Astyanax mexicanus: one gene and its partners. Each later gene encodes a partner of the first gene's protein in a complex. Links are inferred from orthologs where the notes say so. Each region holds a gene or a part of one and is shown on either strand. Other genes may lie near its edges.

Region 1 (7,791 bases):
GCAGAGCTTTCAGACCTCAAATAATGCAAAGAAAACAAGTTCATATTCATAAAGTTTTAAGAGTTCAGAAATCAATATTTGGTGGAATAACCCTGATTTTTAATCACAGTTTTCATGCATCTTGGCATCATGCTCTCCTCCAACAGTCTTACACACTGCTTTTGGATAACTTTATGCCACTCCAGGTGCAAAAAATCAAGCAGTTCAGTTTGGTTTGATGGCTTGTGATCATCCATCTTCTTTTGATTATATTTCAGAGGTTTTCAATTTGGTAAAATCAAAGAAACTCATACTGTTTAAATGTTCTCTTATTTTTATCTAGAGCTTTATATGACAGCTCTGGAATGCATCTGTTTTGTAAATTTAATGAGAAAATATTACTTTGAGCTTTCAGTTGTTTATTTGTTAGCATGCTTTATCCATTTATCCATTCTACAACCACCTTTGATTATGTGTTTGAATTAGTTTGATTAATCTAACTGAAATATAAGAATAATTCAATTCATAATCAATTTGGATTGCATTCAGACAAACCCAAGAAACTCACTGAAATCCCAGCAGTGCAGTGATACTGATATCCAGGATGAGGAACTCTACACCTCCTGCTGTCACTGTATATATTACTTTATTGATCCCTGAGGGGAAGCTTTCCTGGCTGCTGCTTGGTGAACTCACACCTGTGTACAGGTAGACAGGTATGGTCAAGTGTGTGATAAAGTGTGTAGAAAGAGATCTCATACAGTTTAAAATCCAGTGTGAATTCAGCTGAGCTCATTCTGGATATTCATTCATAACCTTATTAGAACTTAATTCTGAATATGAATGTAATTAGAAAAGTAATACACACTCATACTGGACATCAGTGTTTTTACAACTTCATACTTGATGTTAATGTTATTAAAGTTTTGGATAAGAATGCCATTAGCATGCTATCATTCTGGTTATTAATGTAATAACTACTTAATACTGGGTATTAATATTATAACTTAATTTTGAATATTAATGCTATTAGAACTTCATTCTGAATATAAACATAATTAGAACTTCATACTGGATATTAATATTATTATAACTTAATTCTGGATATTAATGCTATTACAACTTAATTCTGGATATTAATGCTATTACAACTTCATTCTGGATATTAATGCTAATAGAACTTCATTCTGGATATTAACATAATTAGAACTTCATACTGGATATTAATATTACTATAACTTCATTCTGGATATAAATGCTATTAGAACTTCATTCTGGATATTAATATTACTATAACTTCATTCTGGATATAAATGCTATTAGAACTTCATTCTGGATATTAACATAATTAGAACTTCATACTGGATATTAATATTACTATAACTTCATTCTGGATATAAATGCTATTAGAACTTCATTCTGGATATTAACATAATTAGAACTTCATACTGGATATTAATATTACTATAACTTCATTCTGGATATAAATGCTATTAGAACTTCATTCTGGATATTAACATAATTAGAACTTCATACTGGATATTAATATTACTATAACTTCATTCTGGATATAAATGCTATTAGAACTTCATTCTGGATGTTAACATAATTATAATTTTATACTGCATAGTTATGCTATTAGACTGGATTTACTAGATATCATTTTATTATTATAGCATTATTCTGAATATTATTGTTATTAGAACTTAATGCCAGATACTATGTCATTACAATTACAATGTGTCATTGCAAACATATTATGAATATTAAGGTTAGATGGATTGTATATTAAATATTGGTATTAAAGGACCATTAAGGATTAAATTTTTGAAGTAACTCATAACATGATTAGGATGTATCATCAGATATTAAGGAACCATGCTGAGTTAAAGTACCGACAGCTCTTATCAGCAGAGCTTTAGTCAGTATTTTCTTATTTGAACTGTGTGGTATGTAACGGTAATACATTTCCACATCTCGGATTGCCAGGTACAGAACACAACCGCACAAAAACAGCCATTTCACACACTTGCTTTCATTTACTACAGATTGTTCCTTTAAGGTTATTATAACTTCTTACTGGATATCGCTGTTATAAACATGTCAATCAAACAAAGTGTGTTCCACCTGTCTATGTTCAGGGCTCCTGAAAGAGGCAGGGCCTGCCCAAAGGAATCCTTAATGACAGATGGAATGGAGTGCCCCCTGCTGGAGAAGCCTCCATTCAGCTACAGCGCCCTGATCGTGATGGCGCTCGCCCACAGCCCCCGCCGCCAGCTTACACTCAGCGGCATCTACGACTTCATTGTGTCGCGGTTTCCGTACTACAGCAGGAAGGGGCGGGGCTGGCAGAACTCCATCCGCCACAACCTGAGCCTCAACAAGTGCTTCGTCCGGGTGCCACGCCCACAAGACGACCCGGGCAAGGGAAGCTACTGGATGATCGACCCGTGCAGTGAGGTGTACATTGGTGGAAGTCCGGGCAAGCTAACACAGTGCCAGCCGGCTAATCGGGCGGATAAGTCTGCAAAGATAGTGAAGTGGAAGGCGGGGCTTGGACTGCCCAGCTCCTTTTATTGGCCCATGGCATCATTCCTGGCACTGCAGCAGCCAGTGTCTGCCCACCAGCAGGGTCACAGATGGGCAGGAACCAGATCCGAGGTTGCCGGACTGGGCACTGCATCGTTTGTGCCAACCTCGGTTCCTGCTATGGGTGCTAATGGGGTAATGCCCGGCCAACCTGCCCTGGTGGCAGATTGCTCCAGTGCCAGGAAAGATGCCATACCCTCTGAGGGAACAGCGCACCCTATGGGAATCCTGCAGCAATTCCACACTGACCCCGCCCTTATTCACCCTGCATACACGTATCATCCCAGCATGACCAGCTCGTATTGGCACATTTGTATTTAAATTAAATTTGTATGTAAATAAATCTTGTTCATTATTTCATATTATTACTATATTGTGTTCTGATTTACATTCTTCTTCTTAATATTATTATCATAACTGTTCTGCTGGATTTTTAATTGCGTAGCATTTTCAAGGTCCAAGGTTTGATCAACATCATGGCAACTATCTTAAATACAATAGCAACCACCTTGCCACAATGTAGTAGTTATCTAGACTCCACCTTGTAATACTGTAGCAACCACCTGGGATATCAAAGCAACCAGCTAGCAACCACATAGGAATACCAATGCAACAGCCTGGGATATAATACCAACCACTAAGCAATAACTTAAAACAATCTTGAAAAAAATCTTCAAAACCTGAGCAACCACCTTGCTACAAGGTAGCCCCCATGTAGAGCCCATTTATCCAAATCCTAGCAACCACCTGGGATACAATTGCAACCACTAAGCAACATCACGACAACTGACTAACATACCATGCCAACCACCTTGTCACAATGTAGCACCCATCTTATCAACACCATATCAACCACCTGGTCTACTATAGCAAACAGCTATAGTATGCAGTATAGTAGCTTTGCATGCCAAAGCAACCATTTGGGATAACATAGCAACTGCCTAGCAACCACCATGCAACATTATGGCAAATGACTTGAATACCATACCAACCACTTTGTCACAATGTGGCATCTAGAGCCCACTATAACATCAATACTATAACACATTTTGGAACTGCTAAACAAACATCTAGCAACCACATTGCAATATGGTATTGTCTAAAATACCATAGCAACCCCCTTGCCACATTAGAACACCAATAGAACACACTGTGATACTATAGCATCAATTAACAACCACTTATGAAGAACACAGTACACTTTGAAAGTTATTGTTGTTAGCCTGAATATTACAAAATGCTATCTCGTTTGGTCTAAACGGTTTATGTAATGCATGCCTGAAATATTGTGAGTAAATGCTTATCATTCTTAAAAGTTATATTTTGACTAATTGCATGGATTTTCCAATATATAACTATACACACATACTATAACTTCAAATCTAATGGTAATGTATTTTTGTTGTGTTTATATATTTGTTGGTGTATAATATATTTATAAACAAACTAAAAAAACCTGGACTAAAACATATTTTTAGTTTTGCTTTTATTTGTTTTTTTTTGTTGTTTTTTTTACAAAAACAAAATAATGTACTGTAAAACTATTTTGCATTTGTTTGATGGTCATGTATGTGAAATAAATGTCTTTGTGCATTTGTCTGATTAAATTCCTGTTTTTTCTAAACTGCAGATGTGTGCAGATTTTCACTCTATAAAATGTGTGGAATAAGAGGTAGGATTAACAAGTGATTAACTCTTCTACCGAGCAGCTCCATCCAAGCAGCTTGCGTTCATTGTGGCATTGTTTCAACAAGCTTCTGCAATGTCACAATTTATTTCAGTCCAGTGTTGCATTATTTTTTCACCAAGATCTTACATTGATGATGGGAGCGTCTGACCACTTCACAAAGCCTTCTCCAGCACATCCCAAAGATTCTCAATGAGGTTAAGGACTGAACTATCCAAATGTGCAAATTATGATCTCATTCTCCCTAATTTATTCATTCATTCAATCTGGTCTATATTCAGTATATTCAGGTAGTCAGCTGACCTCATTCTTTCAGCACATACTGTTACTAAACACACAAACACACACACACACATATATATATATATAATATATTATAATACATCTCACATATATAATACAACTAAACATGTAAAATAATAACACAAAAAATGTAAAAAGTAAAAATTAATTCCTGACTTTTAAACGTTTATTCGACGACAAACTAAAACATGTTCCGGACTTTTTTTATATTATTTTATTAAATATAATAAAAGTCCCCGGAAGGAAGCGGCGCCATAACGCTGCGTTTTGTGAGCGTGACCCGCGCGCTGAAGCTGAATTACCCACAGAGAGAGAAAGATCCGTTTATACCAGAGTAAATTAGAGTTTACTACCCTAAACATGTGAGTATTTACATTATTAAACGATTTTACTGTTATTTTGGGTGTTTTAGGGAAAGCCTGGCTGGTTACAGGAGTTAAACGTCTGCCGTAGAAACACAAAAGCAGCAGCATGAGATTTAGCAGTTGTAAGTTAGGTGTTAGCTTAGCTACTTAAATATAATAAATTTAATGCCCATAGAGGACCTGAATATTGTGTTATTGCTTTAAAACTACTTTTAAATTAGACTAAAATGTCGATAAGCGTATTTAATAATGTTAAATAATTCTCTAATAATTCTCTTCTGCTGTTTAGTTGTTGTAAATCTTGGCTGGATAGTTATCTTACGTTAGTTATCCAATTTAACTCCTGTATTGTGCTTTTTCGTTCTGAGTTAAATTAAGAATAGTGAGCTGCTTATTAGAATTGTCTGTTCCACCTTAAATGGGGCAGAAGTATCTGTACATTCAGGCTCCTCAGCAATTCTTCTGCACCATTAATGTAGCTAAAATAGACAATTCTTACAAAAAGCCAACTTCAGTTTAAGGGCTGCACCGAAGTATTACTTTTATTTTTATATATATATATATATATATATATATATATATATATATATATATATATATATAACAATAAAAAAAACAATAAACCAAAAAATTATATATATATATATATATATATATATATATATATATATATATATATATATTTTTTTTTTTTTTTTTTTTGATTGATCTGAATATTTTTTGTTGCTTAATCTAAAGTTTTTTTCTGATAATCTAACAATTATTTATTTTGATTAATCTACCATTTAGCCTACGATTGAGTAATCTACTGTTTTTTTTTTTACAGATTAAACTAATGCAATTGTATAGACTGATCTACTATATATACATTTACTTTTAATCTAATACTTGGTTTTATCAGTTAAGCAAACAATTATTTTCTTATTGCTTAATTAACCTTTTTACCTTTATTATTATATAGTTTTTGATTAATTGAAAGATTATTTTTCCCGATTAGTCAATAGTCTAGTGACTAAATTAATGCTTGGTTTTCATAGTTTTGTATTTTGGTTTCAAACATTAAAAAGAAATCCTTCCTATTTGATGTTTAGTTAACTGGTTTAAAGAGCCAATCCGAACCTAGTTTAACTTATTTTAATATTAAACATTAATTTATAGTAATATGTGAGGGGAAAATGAAACTATAATTAAAACTATTTAATTAAACACTGTTTTTTAAGATTAATATACTGTGCTCAAACCAATCAGTGTCCAATTTCCTCCACAAATGCTAATAACATGTTGTGTCTCAGGAGTCTCCTAAACAAACCGAAGTCTGAGATGACTCCTGAGGAGCTTCAGAAGCGAGAGGAGGAAGAGTTCAACACGGGGCCGCTGTCCGTCCTCACACAGTCCGTCAAAAACAACACACAGGTCCTTATTAACTGCCGCAACAACAAGAAACTGCTGGGCAGAGTGAAGGCGTTTGACAGGTACGATACTCTGAACTGTGTGCAGAGGAGAATTTGCTCTTCTATTATATTAATCTCATTCTTGGTGTGAAGCAGGTGCTAGCCAGGCTAAGGTATTTTCTAACACTTTTACAGTGTGTAAGTAATGGTTTGTATGTTTGCATTGTTTGACTGATGGTTTGTACACAGGTGGCTTAATGTATTTTAAACAGGTTTGCAATTAAGTCTGAGTGAGTTTGTTGGAGCTGTGATTTGCTTTTCTATGTTGTCGTGTAAATTAAATGCACAGTATTTGAAACAGGAGCCTTTTTTCACTTTTCTGCTGCACTTAGTATACAACTGAACTGACTGTTTAGTGCAGTAATTGTTACAGCCAACCATTACACTTAACCCTGCCTATAAATGGGGATGTTGTAGCATTTGCACTCACTTTGCTGTCATTTGAGTTGTCCTTCTGAGCTGCAAACCAGATTATATAGATTTACTGTGTACAAATATTTAGCAATAAAAATATTCGAAACAGTACTACCTATCTCTATTAAACTGCTTTTGTGTTCATCATGTGGAATATGTAATTCGAGTACCATTTTGGAGGCCATTTGACCTTTGGTAAGTGTTCTTGAGGGGCTTTAAGGCCATGATGAAGATGATGATGATGATGATGAGTGAACACAAAAACTTGTGGTGGATATGAGATTAAATTAGAGGCTGGCAAAAACTAATCTGATCCAATATTGACATAGATAATTTCTGAGTGTTATTGTTTGCTTCTTCCTGTGGGATAAAATAGATAATTTAATATGTGAAAACTGTATTAAATTTATAAAATTCCATTTAACATTTTGCAGAGTGAGGTTGGTGTGAAATTGTGATTAATTGAGAAGAAACTTAAGGGCTATTAGTTCTTTGCAGTTGCAATAAAGTGATCCAGTTGTTGCCATGACCTAAATGCAAATGGAGTACTAGTGAACTTGCACGTGTCTGAGTTTTATATGGAACATTCATGATGGTAAAATAATAGAAAGTCTAAACATATATCATCTTTATATGGATTCCTCACTCATGTTAATTATTTTTTTTTATTTATAAAAAAACTTGACAGTTTTCGTGTCTGGTTCATTTTACCACCTTTTACCATATTTTTGTGAAACCAATTAATTTTGCACAGAATTTACCAAAAACTGTTTAATTTTCCCTAATATATACACCAACCCAGGCAGATAGACTGGTGTTTGTGATTGTTAGTGGATTACAGTCTCTCTGTGTTTTATTTGCTTTCAGGCATTGTAACATGGTTCTGGAGAATGTGAAGGAGATGTGGACAGAGGTGCCCAAAAGTGGAAAGGGCAAGAAGAAGTCCAAACCAGTCAATAAGGATCGCTACATCTCCAAGATGTTCCTGAGAGGAGACTCGGTC
Region 2 (8,153 bases), on another chromosome or scaffold:
CCTCCCTCTCCTTTTCTTTCTATCCACCCATCTATCTATTATGAAATTCTTTGTACTGTGATCACACTTTTGTACATTTATTTTTCCCCCCCCCAAGAGGACAGACGTTTCAGGAATAATAAATTTAGTAAAACCCTGACCGTGTGTGCGAGTCTGTGATTTCTGTTTAATTCCTTTGTGTTTTATTTATTTAAGCAGAAGATTCCAGAATGTCTAATAAGTCTAATGTAGCTTTAGCTAACAAGGAGTGGAGGTTTAAAGAAAGGGGTACACATGAAGGTTAAACGACTCCTTTTAACATTATTGTTTCGAAGTGGCAAACTGTTTTAGTGACTAGAATAATTATTAGAAAAACAACAGTAGTCTTAATTTATAACCTGTAAGAGAATCATTATCAGTCTGTAAAGCTTGGGTTGTGTTAATTCCAGCGCTGGAGCACCAGATCCCTGCAGAGTTCTGTATTTTATTTTTTTCAGGCGCAATCCAACCTTATTCAACTCTCTTACTGATTGCCAGGTTTAGCAGGTCTGTTGGAGGAGGAAAACCTGCGAAATTTTCTAAACTCCAGCCTCCATAGCCCACTCCAGCGTATTTATGGGATTGTCCTGCTCTTTTTTAGAAAAATGTAACAAATGATGTATTGCTCCGTTCAGGAGAACGGGTTCCCTAGTGGAAGCTTGCAGTTGTTCATTAGTCGGGAGATGTAAAGGTAGGAAGTAAGCATTTTTAGGCTAACTAATATTATTCCTGCGCATGTTTTAACCCAGTTGGACCTCGCTTGTGTAGTTTTGCACTTAAAACAGACCGAGATATATCTGTTGCCAGGCAGAGAAAACTTTTATCCAATTAAATGGCAGTTTAGCTTTGACCACAGCATTGGAAAAATTTAATTCTGCACACTAAAAAGTAAAGCATAGCAGAATCCCAGATAATGAGGCAGAGTAAACCCGTTTTCCCCACATCCTGTTGAGTTTTTTAGGGATGATTTATAAATGTGAAATACAAAGATTTATATAAAATAATATTTCAAATCTAAAAAGGTAACAGTTGATAAGCAGTTCATACCACATTTTCCAGTTCTGATTTATGAAAACATCCTCGAGCCAAGCTGTTATTTTCGTATGGCTATTAAATGGTAAAATAGTAAATGCTCCTGTATGTTTAAAAAGGGATGGATGGATGCGGTCGAATTATGAAAATCATACTTTATACTAAAACTGAGGGAGGGCAGACTCACTGTCCTAGTTCTGTTATAAAGAGAGCTGGTGCAGAACTGCGCCACCTGCTGGCTGCTCAACCATCATTTTTGTCTTTATCTAGGACTAATACACACATATCATCTACCAGAACAAAGGGTTCTCTGGAGACTGGATTGTCTCTAATTTACTGTCAGTTGTTGTCAGATTTATTTCCTCCCTGTAAAACAGATCAGTGTCAGTGAGTTAAAGCTAAACCCCCTTTAAACTCGCTCAGCTCCAGCACTTAATGAGATTTATTTTATTGAGCTGTTTGTTAAATATAGATTCCCTTACAGCAGAACACAGCAGAAGCAGTGGGAACAGTCCATCCATTCCAACCCCCACCCATCAACTAATAATGTAGTAACAACTGTAGTTACAACGATTATAAGAATTAAATACACACCAGAATAAACTAAACAAAAGTATAAGCATAGTAAATATTATACAGGAATAGAACATTAATATAGAATGTTTATATGCATTGAAGGATGTGATGGGAGATAATCACACCTTCACACTATTTCCAGTGGTTTCATACCTTTATATATAAATACAGTAAGGGAAATAATTATCCCTTTCTGATTTTGTATATTTGCCCGCTGACAAAGACATGAAGAGTGTATAATTTAGGGGAAGGTTAATTTTAACAATGAGAGATAGAATGTCAAAATAAAATCCAGAAAATCACACTATATTAGCCATGTATTCCATTAAGAATTTTGGCACCTACAGACCAGTTAGACGCTCCTAATTAACTCGTTACCTGCATTAAAGACAGCTGTCCTTAATTGTCACCTGTATAAAGGACTTCTGTCTACAGACTCAATTAATCATTCAGACTGTAACCTCTACAACATGGGCAAGACCAAAGAGTTTCTAAGTATGTCAGGGACAAGATGCATGAGGCTGGAATGGGCTACAAAATCATAAGTAGTATGCTGGGTGAGAGGGAGATAACTGCTGGTGCAAAAATTAGTACAAAAATTGAAGAAATATGGAACATTAAGGACACAGGGCTGAGCAACATTATGATAAAAAACTTGTTGCCCTGACAGACTAGAGATGGACAACAAACTGTTAACCGCACACTGATGACGTAATGATATTAATAAATTACATACAATTGCATTGGTCATATTGACTTACATGTCTTGTACATAAATGTATAACTGTTTGGATGAAGTTTGTGTTGGGTTAGGGGAGGAGACACCCAAAACACTTGAGCAAAAATTCTGAACAGAATCTGCTTATTGGAGTGACCCAGTCAGAGCATACCTGTCAAGTTTTAGATTTAAAAATAAGGGATATTTTCCTCTGTACGCTTAAAGCCGTCCCACCAGCCCAACGAAGGTTCAGTATCCCTTACATTTTAAGACAGGTTTACAAAAAATCTAAAATAACCACAAGTGAACCACTTACACACTACAATTAGATTATCAGAATCTGAAATGTTGTGGACATTCCTACATATGTCATTCTTTTAATACAGCCAAATTAAAAACCCTTTTCTATATATTTTTTAAGAAATTAAGATTTCATGTCTTTTTTGTAATAAATGCACTCTTTTATATGATATATTTTTTATATATTTAATGGATTTAAAATTGAACAAAGGGTGCACAAATTCTGCAAAATTACTGTTGGTGACCTAAAAATAGTATCATGAGCTTTTACTAAAAGGACATGGACCAGATATGTTTCATCAGTAAAAATTAGTCCTAAGGGGCCTACACAATAAATTTTAATTAATACTTCTTCCTTTTGATCACTCCACCCCTGATTAGTTCAGTTAATTTCGGTTCTCTCCACATTTCTAGTTAAACTGAGTCACAAGCTGTATTTTTTTATTTTAAAAGGTTTAATCTGTGTGTTTTATTTTGGAGACGAGTATTTCTAAGCAGCTATCAGAAAAATATCATCACAGTTTACATGATTAGCCTACCGTTACCTTTCTTTTAGAAAAATCGCTGAATATCCAGATATGTTTTAACATCAGCAGCTCCGACTAGCTGCCTGAACTCACAGCGACGGAGGGGGCTTCCCCACACTGACCCTCCTTTGCAAGCTGATTGGCTGTTTCTCCTGAAAGGCGGGCTTTCTCCTTGAATCGGCTCCACGATTGGTTAAGAGACACAGAGCGGTCAGTGCCCTGTCTCCTCAATAATATATATATTTTTATTTTAATAGAATACGGGAAATTTACGGGAAAATACTAATACGGGAGGACGGCGGGAAAGAGGAGTAAAATACGGTAGTTTCCCGGCCAAAACGGGAGACTTGACAGGTATGAGTCAGAGCCCCAGATTTCAGATGCTACGGATTGACTTGGAGAGAGACACTTGACACATCCAAGGAATATAACAGAGCTAAAGCACTTCTGCCAAGAAGAATGGGCTAAAATTCCTTCTGAATTATGTGATTTGGAGGGGGGTGGGGATCAACCAGTGATTACTAGGGTTCACTTACTGTCCAATGCCACTTTGAGCGTTGATATATATAATATATATCAATATATTTGACATTTTTAGATGGATGGATGGATGGATTGATGAATGGATAGTTAGTTTATTGATCCCAGAGGGAAATTCTGTACATCCAGTAGCCGTTATACACAGTACACCGAAGTTCCAAAAGAAGAAAACAATAAAATGATACATATAAAAATGTGTAAATATGTAACCAGTGGACAATAAATAAACTAGTAGTGCAGAATAGGGTAAAACAGTAAAAATAATGTAATAGTGCATCTCAGAGGGTGTGTCTGCAGAGATGGTTGTGTGTCCATAGAGTGACCAGAGTTGCCGGAATGAAAAAGTGTCACAGAGTCTTTAGTTTGCTGTGGTGAGAGGAGTTGAACAGTCTTATGGCCTGAGAGACAAAAGTCTGTTTGTGGAGCAGGACTGGGACAGCATGGGACAGCGTGCCTGGTGATGATGCTGTACAGAGGATGGTGAACATTGTCCATGATGTTCAGCAGCTTGGTTTTGACATTTTTTTGCTGAAAACCATGGAATTCCAAAAGGTTCACATACTTTTTTATATTATAATAATTTTTAATAGTAATTATTAAATATGATTATAATATATTATAATGATTATAAAGATGATTATAATATAAATCATAATCATTAATAGTTACATTAATGATATTGAGAAAAATAATTTAAAAAATTCCCACAGCTCTATTTATTTTAAATTAGTTTGAGAGTAGTTTGCAAGTGTGAGAAACTCACTGTAGAGTTTCTTAGAAGGAAAACTGTCAGTAATATCTAATCTGATGTGAATGTGTATGTAACACATGTGGGCTTTCAGTGTCTCCATAATTGTGTGATTTATAAAACTTGATTTAATGTTTTGTTCTGTTTGTTTTATTTCAGTTTTATTTTCTGAGTGAACATATAATCCCTGTTAGTATACTAACAGTGGCAGCTGGCTAACAACCCTGATTTTATTCTATAATTATTGCCTTAAACAACAACCTAATAACTGGTATTTTAACATCATAATCAGGTGAGAACTAGTCATATAGAATTTAAAATCACTGAATTTTTATATGGAATTTAAATCACTTAATTGTGCAAACTATTATGTCCTTTAGTGATGGATGTTCACTATGTGTCATTTAGGGACTTAATGAGTTAAAAAGTGAGGGAGAGAGAGCTGTGAGAAACTTTACACAGATTTTAAAGGTTCTGTAACACATATTTACATCACCATGGGCTCTCCTGGGTTAAGTGAGCATGCTAAACCTGGCCTTTAGCTGTGGGATTTCACTGGACTCTTTTGTTTCCTGGAGCGTTTGTCCATAGCAGGCTGCCGTAGCAAAGCCGCGAGGGCTGCCGGGATATCGTAGGTCTGCGTGAGGCGACGGTGAGACATTTTTACATTTATTTATTTGTTTAAAATGAACAGATTAGAAATATGAAACGCGGGCTGCGACTCAGCTCAGTCTACAGGTTTCTGTGGTGAGCGGTAGGAGGGTAAATTTCAGAGCTTTGCTTTAAAAAGACGCGGTTTTGTTGACTGTTTGTGTTTCGACTGGAGGCTGGGTGGATTAAAGTGTGAAAAGCGAGTTTACGTGAACCAGTTCAGGTTCCATTAGGGCGGTAAAACATGTTCTGGAAGACTCGCTTATTTTAAGAGGAGGGCCGTGGCTTGTTTTTGTTGCCTAGCTAGGGTTAGATATGTAGCTTAGTCAGATTTTTGTTTGTGTGTGTGTGACTCCTGTGTTATGTTCATCTGTAACAAAAAAAAAACCGTCCTGAAGCAAGTCAACAGTTCACAGTGTACGTGTGAGCTAACTTTTACACATGGTGGCGGTAGTTTCACACACCATTGCTGTATCTAAGACTCCCGAAGTAAACAACAGGAGATCCCTCCTACATACATTCATAACAGATCATCATTTGGACACAGCGTGATGTTATGTCCAAATTAGACAGCAATCTTAAAGTCATTAGATTTTAGTAGGGGAAAAAGGTGTCATACTATTGCTTCACAATATTGGAAAAAAATGTTGCAGTATATATTGCAAAATAAACAATATATATTATTTTTTGCCAATTTTTGTCCAGAGTAAGTGGTCCAATATATCCATATATTAATAATGCCATCTGTGTAACAGAACAGTGGGTATTTCCTATTTTGCAAAAAGTAACCTTACTTGAATGGTTTAATTAGTCTTACATGACATTGCATCTCCCACATTGTGAGTACTGTGTGATAATGCTGAAATTATATATTATTATATATTAGGGCATGTTTTTATAGTTCTTTTAGGTGATGTAAAGGGGCTTCTATAAATAAAGCGTACATGATGATTTTTTTTTTTAACACAGATATTTTTGATTATGCTGACATTTGTAGGGATGCACTAATGTGGTGAATTCTGGACTGATGCTGATATCCGATATTACACAATTACATATTCCAGTGCTTATATACACATTCATAACTTACAGAGAGACTAGACACCCAACTGGGACTTTATAGATTTAAAACTAATAAAAATAAATAAAAATGAGCTTAAATCAATTCATTTTAGAGTAATGCAACTAGCGTTGCTCTGACCTTTTCCGGCATGCAATAAATACTTCAGGAAATATCAGTTTGAAATACTGGCCATACCAAGTGATGTGCAATTATGTCGAATTATATTGGTATCAGCCAGTAATTGTTGTTTTTTTATTTTTATTTTTTTAAATAAAAAAAGCTAGACCATCAACCTAGTACAGTAGCCCTGCCTACAGGTGCTCTATTTCCATCTCAGTTGTTATTAAACATTCAGAGCTGAAAAGCAGGTACTGTCCTTGTAGTGTCTGTATTGTTGTTGATTTGATCTGTGTATTTATGTTCTCCTGCAGGTGACCCAGGATGACCACAGCAGCGCGGCCAACGTTTGAGCCCGCCAGAGGGGGGCGGGGAAAAGGAGAGGGTGATTTGAGTGCGCTCTCTAAACAGTACTCTAGCAGAGACCTGCCTGGACATACCAAAATCAAATACAGGTGAGCTCCTTTGTTCTGAACATACAGCCCTCATTTTTAAAGGGTTTTTAAATTCAGAATGATCTATGTGCTGATAAGCATTTTAGCTTAAAAATAATCTTCGTCCGCAATAACCCACCTAAAAATACATATCACGTGACCGGTTATGTGCATCATTCACTATAATAGTAACCCCATTCTGTCAGTGTAAAAACCAATAGTCATAGTGCCATCATACATTCCACACCTAAGGTAGTAATTGTACTTTTTACTTATTTATTTCTCTTACATTTAAATTTAAGTTACAGGTGAATGTTTCATTTATATTATATGGCCAAACAAAGTGAACACATGTAAACAGTGATTTGTCTGGGTCTAGGTGCTGTATTAGACACTGATTGTGTTTAATGGATTGCGATTTAAGTATGTGTGTGTGTGTGTGTGTTGTGTCTTTTAGGCAGCCCACACAGGATGCTCCTGAGGAGATCCGCAACCGTGACTTCAGGCGTGAGCTGGAGGAGAGAGAAAGAGTCGCAGTGAAGGGCAGAGAGAGAGGAGCCAGGGGTAAGGGAGAATGTGTGTTTTTGTGTGTGTGTGTGTGTGTAACAGATGTTTAAAAATGCAGTCTGATAATCCGGCATTCTATGTAAACTATTGTAATATAAGTAAAATATACACACACTCTGTATCTGACTGTAACAGGAGTTTTTGTTTTGCCTTGTAGAGCATACCACATCCTCTTCCTCATCTTCATCCTCCAAACGACCAAGACTTGATCAGATTCCCGCAGCTAATCTTGATGCAGATGACCCGCTTACAGATGTATGTATTCTGTGTGTGAAGTATATGCATGGAGAGTACGGGATGCATAGCATTTTTAAAACAAAGTTAAAACAAAACTAGTTCCAGACATTAGACACTTTTTATTACAGTAGTATTGTGGAAGGAAGCTAAGAAAACTTTTAAACTGGAGATTAACATTTCTGTTAGCATACCTTTATGGGAATTGGTTTGTTTTACCTGGTTGATTTAAAGGCACAGAATGTGATTTTTATATACTTTTTTGTAAAATTAATTGAATGTTTCCTTATGGTTTACTAGTTTACTGTTGTTGGTGTTTCACGTTAAAATGTTAAAATACACACAGTGAGAGACGTGAGGCTAAGGAACAGCCAAAAAGTAACATTTCTGACAAAGAAAAACCAACAAAAAGATTTTAGATCAGGCAAGACAAATGCAAATTCTGCTGAGGCCCATGGAAGGTGGAGAGCCCTAAGAATATTGAAAGGCATGGCAATAAGGCATAAGGATGTTGCTCTTTGCTTCTTGATGGGTGGAAAACGTACATTTGCTGTTTTACAAAAATAGGTCACTATTATTTTGTGCGGTTTGTCAATATTTGAGAACCCAGTATTGTTACTTTCATATA
Region 3 (7,141 bases), on another chromosome or scaffold:
GTAAACAGTTCAGCAGCGCCCTCTGCTGCTCATACAGCAGAAGTGTTATCAGCACCAGACAGTGACTGCACGGGCCGCTAGAGGGAGCCCAATAATAGAGAGTCCAATAATAATGGGAGTAAACGGAGCTAAACGGTCAAAACTTAAATTAAAATATTGAATATTTATCTGGCCGGGTTATTCATTTCATTTTAAACTACACTGATGTATAGCAAATAAAACATACCTATATATTTCAGTTTTTCTTCAGTGCCATGAGCTGAGTTGGTTTAATAAATCCGAAATCGCATACTTAAACTGTAGAGTTCTGGACTGTTTCGGGGTGAGGACGCACTTCTCGCCCGGTAAAGCAGAACGCTCTTTTCAGTACACGACTACGCAGCTGCTGCTGTTGTTGTTATAAAAGGGTAAAATGCAGACCTTAATTAATATATATTAATGTGAAAAATACTACCATTTACATATAAAGTAGGTCAGGTAGGTTCATATTTAATCGTTTATAATTTCCTCTTATATAAGTAATACACAGTATTCAGTGCTTATGACTTATTTAGAGTTTGTACATATATATACAGTACAGTGGCGTGAAAAAGTATTTGCCCCTTACACCCTTTCTTTTTATTAAGGAAAAAAGAACTATCCAAACCAGTCTGGCCCTATGTGAAAAAGTGTTTGCCCCCCATTAATGAACTGCAATTAATCACACTTTTTGGAAAGCTGTATCATTTAAATACTAACCACAACCAGGCCTGATTACTGCCAGACCTGTAGAAACAAGAAATCAATTAAATAGAACCCGTCTAACAACATTAACCAGATAAAATATCTAAAAAATTATACATATACAGTCATACATATATCACATAATGTCCCAATCTGAAGAAACTCAAAAACAGATGAGAAAACAAAGTCATTGATCACCTATCAGTCTGGAAAAGGTTATAAAGTCATTTCCAAAGCTTTGGGAGAAAAAATGGAACACTAGTGAACCTTTCCAGGAGAAACAAACTGACCAAAATTATTCCAAAAGGGCATGGCCAACTTATCCAGGAAGTCACAAAAGAACATTACTACACCCTTCTCAAAAATCAGGAGATGGGGCACGCAGTCACGTGGGGGCAGAAGACATTTTAAAAAGTTTTATTGTTCAGTACCGCTGTAAGAAAGACTCTGGCATTGAATCTTAGCCCCGCCCCCTTCACGTGCAGTTTGGTCTAGTTCTACTGCTGTTTAGTTTTACTCTGTTGCTCCAGGCAAATTACCACTTCAGGTTGGCTAGATCACAGCCTCAAGAGAATAGCATGTGAGGAGTTGTGTGCGTGTATTCCAACCAAACCACACACCATTGAGACTCTTGCACATGTAATTGAAGTGTGAAGTTTAATAAAGAAACGAAAAGGAGACAACTGCTTCATGGTGTTCTAACCGACACCCCCCATACAACACTCATCCCATCATCAGAACCCACACATACAGTCCTTTAGTGGTCCTCACCAACAACCGCTTTTAGTCAGATAAGAGTCCTGTAGCAACTGAAAAACAAAGACTAATGCTTTGAATTAGTTGCTGTTTTTTATTTTAGTTAATTTATAAAAGAAATTCTTACACCTACAATAGCTATGATATATATTTTATGATTAAATTATGTAATTATTTGCATGAATTTATTGTCACCTCTTCTCTGAAGGGTTAGAAGCGCCTCACTGCACACCATTGAAAAATTGTCTTTAGGCCAATTCTGGTGCATTTACAGTAATGTAAATTAATGTAAACTGTCCCTGTTAAATAAACTATTTAAAAAATGGTATACGTTTTTACTGTTTTCTAAAGCCTTCTGAATTTTCTTTAAAAACACTACATAACTATTACACTGAGATCTACTTTTCTTTCCATATATTATATTATGTTGCGAAATGCACTAAACAATTAAAGCTGTGTAAATGAGCATGATGTTGAATTTATTTCCAAGAACAAAGAACAGAAAAGCTGGTCTGCAAATAAAAAAACAAAGTTCTAAAGGTTATGTGTGATTCATCTTCAGTGTCTAAAAAATGTACTTTTCTGTGTCTGAAGAACAGACTTTTGAATAATGCACAGTTTAATCCCATTATTCATTTAGTGCTACACAATACATCTGTAACATGCCAGTATGGTTTGTGAATACTTAAATTTTTTTTTATCTCAATTTAATAACACTCATGTCATCTCTGTTTCACTCATAAACTATTTTTTTAAACACCAGAAGTAAGCAAACAGCGCAATCATCGCGAGATCCGCTATTGTTCACGTTGGTCGCAGGTGGAGACTGTCCGACCTGACTTCTCTATGGTGGCTCTGAGGTGCAAAACAAATAAACATTTCAGAAAAGTAAATTACAAAATTACAAATTTACATACGAAAAATAATTACATTCAAGAATACTAAATTACCAAAGAAAAAAATATTTTACATGGGCAAAAAAAAAAAAACATTACATTTCAGAAAAACAAATTTCCAAAAATTGAAACAAATTTTCAAGACGCAAAACACTTTTACCAGAACTGAAACACTTTTACAAACTGTGATTTCTGACTAAAAGGGAGGGTCTAACACACAGGTAGTCAGGGGCTGATCTAGCCATTTTAGGGCCCTAGGCAAAATAAAAACAAGGGGCCCTCATTCTTGAAACATACACACATAAACCAAATAACTAGAGATGAAACGATCGATCGGCAGTGTATCGGTATCAGACAATTTTCAGCCAAAATACGGTATCGGCGATCGGCTTAAGCAGTTTATCAGAGCTGTGTGTGGATGAAACTGGTGAAACCGGTGAAACTGCTCGCTTACAGGAAGCTGCAGTTCCTTTACACACAAGTTATATCTCTCCTAAAAAGCGTTTATTTTGGTCAGTCACACTTGTGTTTATTTACTAGCAGCGTAAATTACCAGTGTTTGCTTTAGGCGTGGATGTAATTAGGGGAATCTGTACCAGGTTTGCCAGGCACCTGTGTGTCATTAATGTGGCATTTGGCCCCGCCCAAAATCGGTATCGACGATCGGCCCATCGTGGTAAAAGACGATCAGCGATCGGAATCGGCCCCAAAAACACTGATCGGTCCAGGAGGTGTAAAAAAAAAGGTCAGTTTTGGCAGTGCATCTTTGATTCTTTTGCTCTCTGCCCGTTTCTTTCGTTTAGCAGAACCACTTTCATAACTCCGCTTCATTTTCACTGTGACAGCCCTCACTCTAGTCGCGTACAGTTCCCGCTGTTTTGGTTTGAAGTCACGTTGTGTGGCACATTGCTACGTCATCATATTATGGACTAGTTCAATGCAAGCAAGGGAGGGGGGTATGTGTGTTTGGACAATTATTATTTAGACATTAATTCGGTATTCTACTGATATTTTTAATATAAATATTTTGTTCTTTTCTTTACATAAGTAACAACTTAACATTGTTTTTGTGTATTTACTGTTGCTGGGATGGTCAGATTTGGGGGCCACTATGGAGGACAGATTTGATCTACGCCCTAGGCAAATGCCTAGGTTTGCCTAATTAAAGAACCGCCTCTGCAGGTAGTGCTTGTTGCGGACCCTCCGAGAGAGAGTCGAGTTATGGACAAAACAAATTATATATATATATATAATGTTTTTTGGCATGCATTTTAGGAGCAGCAGTAATTGTCTTTGTTGCTACTGCCCAGCGGGGTTCAGCTGCTGTACTGTCCTGTCCTGTCCGCGGGGCAGTGGCTGAGCATCATGTGGGGTGTTTCCGTCAGGAAATCGCAGTTTATAAAAGTGTTTCAGTGCTGGTAAAAGTGTTTCGTGTCTTCTTCACGAAACGCCCACCCCCCAGGTGGTGCAGGTGCAGCCGTACCTCAAACAAGCCTAACGAGAAACTGATTTATAGGACCCCATTCATTTGGACGGTATCTGAAACGTCTCCTGGTGGTTAACAAACCTCCTCCCTGACCACACGCCCACGGTCGTTCTTAACTACCATTCATTCCCACAATGCAGTGCTGAAGTGCCCGGATGTGAGGCGGTGTATTTGAGGTGCATTGTGGGAGCGGGAGAACGCTGCTCGGACGCGCACGCTGCTTTAGAGCGGGTACAAAGACTTCCTCAGCGCAAAGACTCCGGTACAGAAATATCCTTTATATCATTGTTTTACCCGGTTTAATCCTGTTACTCTGTATCTGTGGGTAAAGCCGAGTTTATACAGGCTTTATTAACTGTAAATGTGCAGCAGAGAATCGCTGATTTATTGCTCTTTCTGTACTGTTAGCCTGTTAGCTTTAGCTACTGAAGCTAAACTCTAAGCCTAAAACAGGAAAATTTATATCTACATCTAAACCACCTTTGTATTCCCTACACCCTTAAACATACCTCTACTTCGGGCTTTATCGGCTGTAGTTATTGGATAGTATTGTCTGTTTCCGGGAGAATATATGCTGTATAGTTAGAGGTGTGTTTAGCTCAGATGCTAAATATAATACTCAGCTCTCCCCAGATACAGACAAACTTTACCAACATCTGTTAACTGCTCTAATTATACCACTACTAAATAACTATAATCAAACGGTATTAATTATGATAATGACTTACAATAATCTTTCAGATTGACTAAATCTTCCCTTAACATGTAAGATAAAGAGTAGAAATGCACCGATGTGTGAGTTCTGTGCTAATGACGATTTCCAATATTACAAACCTAACTTAAACATGCCGATGTCGATATACACATTTATAACGTAAAGACTACACATCCCTGTATAAATTTAAAAGCGAGCTTATACCCGTATGTTTTAGCTTTTAACCAACAATAAAATGAAAGGTGCAGATGACTCTTAAACAACAAAAAAAAACATTTATTTACTTATACCGACAAAAACCTCGCCTGGTGTGACCCGCAGCATATCGTACAGAGTATAAAATCGTACTTTTTATTCATAATTTATACAAAACAATCTTGGTAATTTAGTTTTTTACTAAATCCAGTAGTTTTTAATTTTAATAATTGGTCAGATTGTTTATGCTTCTGCTGAATGTCTGAACCCTTTTATATTTACATGAAATAAAACATTTGCAGTTGTCTGTTCTTGAAAATAATAAAATAAGGTTTAGTATTTCAGTGTTATAATGTATTTGTACAAAAGAAAATCCCTGAAATATTGGTATCTCCTATCCCTAGCCCAAACCATGTATTTGCTAGAAAATTCCAGTTCTTAAAACTAGAGTTCATTTTATGATCAATGAAAGCTTTATTAAATAGGTATGCACATATTAAATGTAATGGTTGTGGATTAATGGTTTCCTGAATCTGTAGTTGAGTGAAAGTTAAAGCTTGAGTAAATGGTTCAACCAGTTGTTGGTGATAAAGGTTGATGTCTGTTGTACAGAAGTGCATCACTGCTCTTCTCTGGAAAGGGTGTAATATTTGGCTTAGTTTGATTTTTTTTTTGGCATTGCTAAATGCCATTCTGTAAGTTTATTATTATTTTTTTTATAATTGTGGGCCAGTAATGTATTTGTGCTGTCTTTGTTGGTTTATTGTCTGATGGAATGGAGCTAACATGGCTGAAAAATACTTCATCAAATATGTTTAAAACTGTTTTCTTAACTCCACTAAAAGCTAAAGATGCAAACTTAAGATTCTAGACATATTGTATGTAGTGCTGAGTGTTTATGGCCTAAAAAAAGATTTTTTTCACACAAAAAAAAGATTTTTGATTTATGTTTGATTATTTCTCCCTACTAAAATCAAACTACAGATGGCAAAGAAATGGTTCAAAACTAGGTTTACATGTAAAGAAAAAAATAGTTTAAGAAATATATGCGTGCGTTTTGTAAATTGCCTTAAAACTAATTGGAATTAACTGAATTAATCAGGAAAAATCGCACAGCGCTAACTACGTTGTGCTGAGCTGGACTAAATTGTTTCGCAAATTCTCTCTTTTGATCTGTTACTGAAGTCCTTCCTGTGGTGACCCCCTTTCTTTTTACTGCAGATATCTGAACAATGTCGATCGGTGTACCAATCAAAGTGCTTCATGAAGCGGAGGGTCACATTGTGACCTGTGAAACCAATACTGGTGAGGTGTACAGGGGGAAACTGATAGAAGCTGAAGATAATATGAACTGCCAGGTAATGTCTGCACTGTTTGTCATGTAGTTATTTTGTTTCCAATTGAAAAGTTTTGTTTTGTTTGTGTTTTGGGTAAACTTATTGCTTGTAACCAAGTTTCAGCTGTCCCATCTGTTATGCCCAAGTTGCCAGCCCCACCTCCACTCTTGACAATGTAAATAAACTTCTTTACTAGGAGTGGAACAAAAGATTGGTATTAGTGTTTTATAGTTTGCATACATAATACATTGATACATGGCATCAAATATGGATATTTTCTATTGAAACAAGGGTCCTCTATACTCCCTAAGACTTCCTTTAGATCTGTGAAACTAACACCCATAAACACATTCCTGGTATTTGCTTATTTAGGAGTATTTAATCCTCTTCAGTTACACAGATGTTGAGAATTCTTTTGCAGTATATAGTGTTGCAGAATCACAGTATCATAATGCAACGTGAGATGCCCTGTACTTTCCACACTGTAGGTGTATCTGAGCAAGTGGACCTATAATACAGTTGTTTAAACTGGCAACTTGTGTATGTAGTTGTAGGGGTAACTGCATTGCACAGTTTTCTGTTCTTCCTGTCTTTCTTTTTCTGTGTATTAATTAAAATAATGTTTGCATTAATGAATACTAATGCCTTTGGATTTTAGATGTCGAATATTACTGTGACGTACCGAGATGGCAGAGTGTCGCAGCTGGAGCAGGTCTACATTCGCGGCAGCAAAATCCGCTTCCTCATCCTACCGGATATGTTGAAAAACGCTCCAATGTTAAAGAGCATGAAAAATAAGAATCAAGGAGCAGGGGCTGGGAGAGGCAAGGCAGCTATTCTTAAAGCACAAGGTATGGCACTGCATAATCGTAGTTGATTGTATACAGTTTTCTGATACTCAATGCATTTTCATTACTTTCATCTTTTTTTTTTTATTATTATTTTTTTTATCCTTGTCTGATTTTATAAATTTCAATATTTATCCTCAATTTTACTTACTAACATTACTGTTTCGTTACTCCATGTGGTGGCA

What was found.
Region 2: snrpd2 (region 1) and cwc15 share a complex: the UniProt entries of both Homo sapiens proteins name them as parts of the minor spliceosome. The link is inferred for Astyanax mexicanus from reciprocal best matches to the Homo sapiens genes SNRPD2 and CWC15.
Region 3: snrpd2 (region 1) and snrpd3l share a complex: the UniProt entries of both Homo sapiens proteins name them as parts of the SMN-Sm complex. The link is inferred for Astyanax mexicanus from reciprocal best matches to the Homo sapiens genes SNRPD2 and SNRPD3.

The regions. Positions count from the first base shown.
Region 1 is NC_064416.1:9,430,613-9,438,403, reverse strand, and holds the start of snrpd2 (small nuclear ribonucleoprotein Sm D2), read left to right. Parts: upstream 1-4,790; 5' UTR 4,791-4,918; coding exon 4,919-4,920; intron 4,921-6,215; coding exon 6,216-6,395; intron 6,396-7,655; coding exon 7,656-7,791. Other genes in the region: foxg1c (forkhead box protein G1c), read left to right, coding at 2,161-2,889. UniProt on the Homo sapiens protein: Plays a role in pre-mRNA splicing as a core component of the spliceosomal U1, U2, U4 and U5 small nuclear ribonucleoproteins (snRNPs), the building blocks of the spliceosome.
Region 2 is NC_064408.1:38,128,912-38,137,064, reverse strand, and holds the start of cwc15 (protein CWC15 homolog), read left to right. Parts: upstream 1-5,013; 5' UTR 5,014-5,111; intron 5,112-5,202; exon of another isoform or gene 5,203-5,221; intron 5,222-6,604; 5' UTR 6,605-6,614; coding exon 6,615-6,745; intron 6,746-7,181; coding exon 7,182-7,288; intron 7,289-7,448; coding exon 7,449-7,546; intron 7,547-8,153. UniProt on the Homo sapiens protein: Involved in pre-mRNA splicing as component of the spliceosome. Component of the PRP19-CDC5L complex that forms an integral part of the spliceosome and is required for activating pre-mRNA splicing.
Region 3 is NC_064424.1:38,884,070-38,891,210, forward strand, and holds the start of snrpd3l (small nuclear ribonucleoprotein D3 polypeptide, like), read left to right. Parts: upstream 1-4,001; 5' UTR 4,002-4,123; intron 4,124-5,992; 5' UTR 5,993-6,003; coding exon 6,004-6,129; intron 6,130-6,766; coding exon 6,767-6,959; intron 6,960-7,141. UniProt on the Homo sapiens protein: Plays a role in pre-mRNA splicing as a core component of the spliceosomal U1, U2, U4 and U5 small nuclear ribonucleoproteins (snRNPs), the building blocks of the spliceosome.